2 linked regions of the Mytilus edulis genome follow. The protein of the gene in region 1 purifies or fractionates together with the protein of each later gene. This does not show direct contact. Links are inferred from orthologs where the notes say so. Each region holds a gene or a part of one and is shown in the gene's direction. Other genes may lie near its edges.

What was found.
Region 2: the proteins of brefeldin A-inhibited guanine nucleotide-exchange protein 3-like (region 1) and prohibitin-2-like purify together in Homo sapiens (affinity purification with western blotting; 4 studies listed by BioGRID). This does not show direct contact. The link is inferred for Mytilus edulis from reciprocal best matches to the Homo sapiens genes ARFGEF3 and PHB2.

The regions. Positions count from the first base shown.
Region 1 is NC_092353.1:63,908,742-63,912,678, forward strand, and holds the start of brefeldin A-inhibited guanine nucleotide-exchange protein 3-like, read left to right. Parts: upstream 1-1,536; 5' UTR 1,537-1,699; intron 1,700-3,937. UniProt on the Homo sapiens protein: Participates in the regulation of systemic glucose homeostasis, where it negatively regulates insulin granule biogenesis in pancreatic islet beta cells. Also regulates glucagon granule production in pancreatic alpha cells.
Region 2 is NC_092356.1:14,001,004-14,004,940, reverse strand, and holds the start of prohibitin-2-like, read left to right. Parts: upstream 1-964; 5' UTR 965-1,039; coding exon 1,040-1,169; intron 1,170-3,937. Other genes in the region: large ribosomal subunit protein uL29m-like, read right to left, coding at 759-895.

The DNA.
Region 1 (3,937 bases):
AGCAAATACATTATCACAATAACAGAACAGATAACAAAAAAACTAAAAGCCCAATAACAGCTAACAAAGAATAAGACAATAACAGCTAACAGCAAATATATTTTCAAAATAACAGATAACAAAGAATTAAATTGCCCCATAACAGCATAACAGTTAAACCCCTTGCCCCCCCTCAGTGATAATGCTTGGAGCACAAAAATCATGCTTGAAACACCAAATCCTGTATTTTGACATATACCGGCCTCTCTAACTTTTGACAATCACTTTTCCATTGTGGCGTCAGATGTTTTGTTTTATGACGTCAACAAAACTTTACGGGAACATCATTCTGTTCCTTTATAATAGAAACTTTATAAAAAGTAAAAAGAAAAAAAACAACAGTTAAAGAATACAGATAAATTTACTTACGTTGGATCTTAGTGCAGTGGCTTGGTGAATGGCGTTTACTTTGAATATGACGTCATCACTTAAAAAGCGTCAAAACTAAAAGCCCTAACAACGGAACCAAAATCGGAAACGTTACGGTATTTCCGTATCTTTTTTTTAACATGAATAAATTCGTACAGACTTCGTCCCCTTTCACAGGTAATGCCTGCCTCATATCAAATATTGTTCATTAGTTCTACCAATAAAAACAAGACAAATTAAATCTAGTACATAATAAAAGAAGAAATTTTGCTATGTAAATTTTAGGGATGTCGACAATTACGTTGCTACAACGTTTTAATTACGTGATATATTTGATCGATGAACAGTACATATTGCAATTATTTTTTTATTATTTTTTTATTATTATTACGATGTATTATTGATGACAAAACATGGTTCCTCTTTTATAATAGCGTAAAATCAACTTAATATTTTATCGACCAAAAATATGACGACGTTGCTATAACGTCACAGATACGTGACAGATGCGTCGCAATATGACATTGCAACAACGTAATATAAACGTTATCAAAAACAATAATAACGTTGTCCTGACGTCGGTTCTACGTCGTATCTGACGTGACGTAAAATTACATTCTCACAACGTTGCAACAACGTCGTACTTTCGTAACGTCAGTCATGACCTTCCAGCGACCAATACATAACGTCGCAAGGACGTCATGTGTTTCCTGGGTCCCTCCTTTGGTGACCCAGCAGTCAGCGGTCTTAGGTTCACGTATTGCTTTTCTTTCTTTTTTTTTTTTCTTTTTTTAATGAAAGCAACTTTTTTTTATTTCCACCTCTGATCTGAAATAGTGGTGCTCCTTGTGAATGAAGACTCATACAGAACATACAAAAAAAATCCAACTTCCGAAGCAAGGTTGCCGAGTTTATGAGCTTCGGTCCTTGCCTGGAAGTTGAAAAAAATCACGAACTGAGTTATTGCCCGTGCTATTTTTCAATGCTATATGTGAAAATTTAAAATTAAAAAAAAAGAGAAAAATCTGCAATATAAGTGTGCAAATACCTAAAATAATACAGACAAAATATCTCAAAAAAATCTTCGAAGCACAAACTCATAAAATAATGTTGTTGTGAATAACCTATTATTACATTCGTAAGCGGCATTATTATGATTTGGCAAAGATTTGAGACTTAAACTAAATTATCGCCAAAATAGAGAAAGAAACTACATAAATGAAGCGTACAATATAATATGAGTGTTCTGTTCATAGCAAAGCGTATAATTGTTAATCAACACGACGATTAAGTGAGTGTAACTAGATGAGAAAACCGCAATATGCCGGCAAATTACCCGTAATCAGATAATTTATTACTGTCTGTTAGACCTACTGTTATTGTTGAATCACAGGCACTTGTTTCTATCCATAGGAAGGTCGACTATCCATATAGATAGAAGTATATGGATAGTCGACCTTCCTATGGATAGAAACAAGTGCCTGTGTGTTGAATCCTTGAACAGGTTGTTTCATCCATTAATTATTTTGTAATCCATAAACATGATAAGTGAGGCCCCTCATGGGGGGGTCCTAGTAATCACATAATCACCATTTTTTTGCCAATATAATCACATAATCATTAAATATTTGCTTATCTTTAGTAATCAAATAATCATAAACTAAAAATACAGCCCTAGGTAATCAAATAATCGTGAAATATTTGGCTTAATAATCAAATAATCATTAAAAAAACGGCCAAGTAATCACATAATCAAAAACCCCATGAGGGCCCTCATAAGTTTGAAGTAAAGCTGGAAGACAGGGGGTTTTAACTTGCATTGAACAGGTTGGGGACAACCTGCCAAATGTGGAACTATTCCCTAAACGAGTAACAATCCCTCATTTGAGTAATCATTTCATAACTATTGTGCTATTAAAAAACTAAATTTTCTAAAAATTTGTCTTTTTATGTAAAATGGCACAAATTTATAGAAATTGGAACAACTTCTAGCAAAGAACTATATTTTTATTAGGGGTTTTAAAAAAGTTAGTAGCCTTGAAAATAGTCAAATTTTCTAATTTTTCATAGGCTTGTATCTTCTCAGTAAATCAAGTTAGGGATAATCATTTTTTGGAAAATTTGCTACATTTTTCATGAATATGTGCCATTTTAAGAAAAACAACTCAGATAAGAAAATTTTGTTTTTTAGCACTACCAAATGATTACTCAAATGAGGGATTGTTACTCATTTGGGGAACAGTCCCCAATTTGATGGGTTGTCCCCAACCTGTTGAAAACATTGTATTCTCCGGGAAGAATGCTTGTCAATTTGTTCCAAGCCAAGTTGTTTCAATCAAGCCAATTTGTTCCAAGCCAATTTGTCAAAGATTTGGTCAAATCGTTCCAACTGATTTGGTTCATTATAACCTTGATTTAACAATTTGTTCCTGTTTTTCTTCATATATGGGCAGGAATTCGCTAGTGAAATTTTAGGGTCAATAGTGTTTATCCAATTAAAAAATAAAGAAATCATGCAAATATGGAGCTTTAACATTGTTTAAATATCAAAGTGCGTTAGTCTTTATTGCCAAATGCAAAAAAAATGGATCCAATTAAAAAAATCAACAAAAAATCAGCACTTGTTATGTGCTGGTAGTTGAAAACTGTAGACAAAAAGTGTGACATTTCTGCAGTGGCAAAACCCCTAGTCATATTTAGAATATGCCTGAAGAATTGTTCTACTATCATAGTTGAAAATCAACTGCAAAATGATCTGTCTATCATTTAGAAACCCCATTTTGTACAGAATCCGATTATTGCTGCAAATAAAATACGTTTGAAAATGGACAAGTGCATGTAACTTTTCCCGTCAACAAATGTTACATGCACCTTTTCATTAGCTGATTAGCTTTGGAAACAAGTTATTGGTCCAGCATGGCAAATTTTGAAAGGTGTCAACAATGGGTAAAATTTGGATTTCATGATTTTTATCAATCAACTGAAGTTTGAAAAATATAGAAGGTAAGAAAATTTATTTCATTTTCGTGTCAATACTGCCCAATAATACTCATCTTTTTATAACAGTTGTATACTTTTTATAGTAAGCATTACCATAATTATTTTTTTCACATTTCAACCCACTGACAATTACATTAAAATGTGGCTTTGTCATCTTTCACACTAGGCATCTACCAGTGATCAAGCAGATGATAAGAGAGTGGGACCAGGTTAATTTGACCTCACAATGAAGTGTTACATGCACTTCCTGTGTAAATTAGGTTCTTTGATAATGATGTGTGACTTGCTTTGCAATTTTGTCAAAAAATATAAGTTTATCTTGTATTTAAACAGGTTTGACCCTTACGATATTCATTTTATTGCTGGAGAGATTTCTGTACATAACATTGACACGAAAATATTTACCAAGGAAAGGTGTCTATGATACATGCAAAAGCTTTTTTTTTGTACGGTTTGCCTTATCAATCTAATTTTTTACATGAAATACCACAGATTAATTGCCAATTTGATTAACTAGTACTTGTATTCA
Region 2 (3,937 bases), on another chromosome or scaffold:
CCTACATATTCGCGCCCAATCTTAATTTGTTTTGTGTTTATTAACTTTGTAATCAAGTTTTGGCAAGTGTATTCTTATAAGTATATCTGTTGTCATTGTCTTAAAATAAAGTGAGACAGCATTTTTTTTTGTATTGAATAAATCTTAATCAGGTTTTGGATAGTGTATTGTTAAAAAAATTAAAAAAATCCTTTCTAAATAAAGTGGGATTCTATCATGTTTTGGTTATAAAAGTGTATAGCTATATTTTATTGTTTAATTGTTTCAGATCAAAGGGACCAAGCTGTTAAAAACAATTATCTTTTGTGTTTTTCTTTTAAAATCTTCAATGTTTTACCCATACCAAGCTATGTATATACATTTAGTATTTACACCAAAGCAATTTAAAACAACAATCATGATTTTCCAATTATTCAACTTGAATTTAAATTAAAATTAGGCGCGAACGGAACTTGGGTGCGAACGTGGAAGGTGCAAACGTGTAAGGTGTGAAAGTGTATTGGGCGCGAATGGACCTGATAGTGATACATTGTACCTGAAATCACAGACGTCAAGCTGTCTTACTTGCTGGCACACAAAATGCAACCTTGAAAATTGGCAGAACAACTAAGAACGGATTGACATGGCGATTTGTTGCCAAAGGAGGCTTTTCCAAGAAGATTGCTGAAGATCTGTACACATAACACAACTGAACTGCAGTTTGGATGTCAACTGAAATGATTTATTATTTATAAAAGTGTTTTAGAAATTATTCATACTTGTCACATATAGTCGGCCTCTTGTGTTGAACATTAAAAGCTGAGGTAGGATGAAGACTAACACCGGGTAATGATGTCTTAATTAATTGCCTAGTTGCATTACTAAGTGTTCTGAAGTTTATAAATGTCAATGACATTTTTCATTTCTTTTTTCGTCAATGTCAAACAAACGCTTACCTATATTTACGTTCTCTTAATCACTCTCGCGATTTAGATGACACGAGATTTTACACCACATGTTCTGAAAGTCAAGATACCGGCTAATAAAAGAAAATCTGACCATGGATCCTAAAAAAATGGGAGAAGCTCTTGGCCGCATGAAAGGCGGTGGAGGCAAATTTGCAGGAGCTGGTTTAGGCCTCTTAGCAGCCGCTGGGGGCTTATTTGGAATTGCAAATTCATTTTACACTGGTTAGAAATGTTACATCAGAAAAGGGTCACCTTATAATAATTTCAGTTATGTAAACAAATAAAAATTGTCTCTCTATTTTACACTGCGATAATGTCACATTTAACTACTATTGTCAAAATGATAGAAACATCATAGACAACGACAACTAGTTGGCAAACTGGCATAGTTGTCAACGAACTCAAACTTTTATCTTCCACATGCACATGCAATACACTTAAGGTTCAAGTGGACCCTATGCCATGGCTAAAATGGCTGTATTGTCACCTCAAAATTTACTCTGAGTACAGACAAACCTGCGTATCTGTAAAAAAATTCAGGCATAGCATGCCCGATATAAAAATGGCTACAGAGCTCCAGATAAGAATTCACAAATTGGGGTTTTTACCCACCATTTTTTTATGTAATTGGGTGATGGTATCGGGATCGTTCGCCCTGATTACATGTTTTCCCTAGGTTCGTTCGCACTGAGTTTGTTCGCCCTGGGTTCGTTCGCCCTATTTTCATTTATGATCATCAATATGTATATGTTACATTAATGAAAGAAATATATATTTATAATAATTTGAAATCTTTGATATCACTGAGTGATTGGTATATGAATTGTCTTTGATGGATTAATAATGAAAATAACATTTTTCTCAAATAGAATAGTCAGCTTTGATGGGATAAAACACTGATGTACAAATTGTTAAGCATGAAAAGGAAATTATTTTCACAGCTTGGCTTCTTTGATCTCAAGTATGTTTTTACAAATTTGTTATATATGGAAGTGGATTATGGAACCGGTGCACATACAGATACTAACTTAGTTCTCAATACCTTGAAGTCACAATATCTTGTAGTCCTAAAATTTACAGGAACTTATAACCTAGTACAGTTGGAAGGCAAACGCCTGAATCTGACAGATAGAGGTCAATTTGTCGACAAAAAAAGAACCCGTATGTAAAATGTTTACGCCCACAAACAGCGCCACCTATAATTTTTTCTACGGCATCTTTGAGAACGATGTCCCATTCTGTAGTAAATTAAAACATTAAATTAAATAAAACATAGAAAAGTAAGTGTAAAACACAAATTGAAAGATATATTTGCAGATGACTGTTTATGCATGATACGCTGGCAATGTGCGCAATGTCCTTTAATCCAAGACTGAAAATTAGTTTGTTTCCTACGTCAAGATGGCGGATTTCAATGTTTACATTTTTTCACCTATTTATAATCTGACAGAAATTGGTATCCAATCATTTATTAGCAATTTTATTATTGATCTTTGAAGATCATCCAATCGCATTTGCCGTTAGAAAGTGGCTACACGTTACCAGCCGTCGTTACAAAGTAGCCATGTGTTTTGTGGGGATACCTTGGGAATGTTATGTATTCAAAAGTTACGGTAAAAATCAATGTTATCTTCCTTATATTTCCATGCATACACAATTTATAACAGCAAATACATTCTTAACAGACCCCATAAGGTAAACGGACATATTTAACTGTCTGCTTGAGCAAAAATTCGTGTAAATAAGCCTGATGGGTCGTTTTGAATTCAAGCACAGCAGACAAACACGTGGTAGATTGTTTATGTTTGACAGTTTGTTTACTTGAATTGCACGTTGATGTTACTATATACTTACCAATAACATTTATCGTGTTATACTTTCAATAGTTATATAATAAATCTTACCCAAGAAATACGTCTAGGTACATGTAGGTGCAGGGACTTCTTTTACTTGGTCCTTAACTAATGAGGGTGTAATGATACATTACAGCATTTTTTGCATTTGATATATTTCATGGACATGTACATTTTGTGTACACAAAGAACAATAAAGTAAATGAACATACATGGGTTTAATTCCCACCCTAGATATACATTTTGACTCTCATGACAGGTTGGAACAAATAGAGCAGATAGCAATTGACAATAATGTATTAATGCTAAAATGCTGATTGATGGGGTCAAATCATCAACATAATTTTTTCTAGTATACAACAGCTCCTCTAAGGATTAGTAAGGGTACTTTACTAAAAGTCCAGTGGCTAAGTCCTGTCTTTTTTGCCTCTGATATTTACTAATTTATATTATAATTTCTAATATTCTCTTGTGCATGTAGGAAGGCAAAAGCTATTGTTACTCTTATTTTCCTCATTTGCCTTAAAACAATGGAATGTATTGATTGTTGATGTATGTCAAGTGACTTGTAATTTAACTGTCACTGCTAACAGAGACTGGGACTCTGGTGATAAGTTTCCAGGCTGTTATGTCATTGGCAACTATACCATAAATGTCAGTTTCCCCTTTATAAGTTTTTAAGAAAAGAATTTAATGATAATATAATAATAAGTTGTAAAAAAATTGAAAAGTTAAGCACAAGTGACAAATCTAATTGGCTTTTTATTCAAGAAAACCTAGAGGCATTGAAAAGTGTTGCAATTTAAAATAAATGTTTTGAACTCAGAAAGTTATCAATATATATATAGAGAGTACAGATAATGTTTTAATTGGGCCTTTGGGAATATTTGCCTGTTAATTGAAGATATAATTATTATATGCCTTTTCAAATATATGTGTGGCTCTGACCTGGCTGTGGTTTAAAATCTAAGAATGGAGTTGGTTATCTCCATATTTATCTAATTTATATCAACATCATTGATCCATTATATATACATATATATAAATCATTGTAATACATGTACATTACTTTGCTTTTCATATGCCCTTTAATTGGAATAAAATATCTTGCCTTATACCTCATTTCTTTATTTTAGT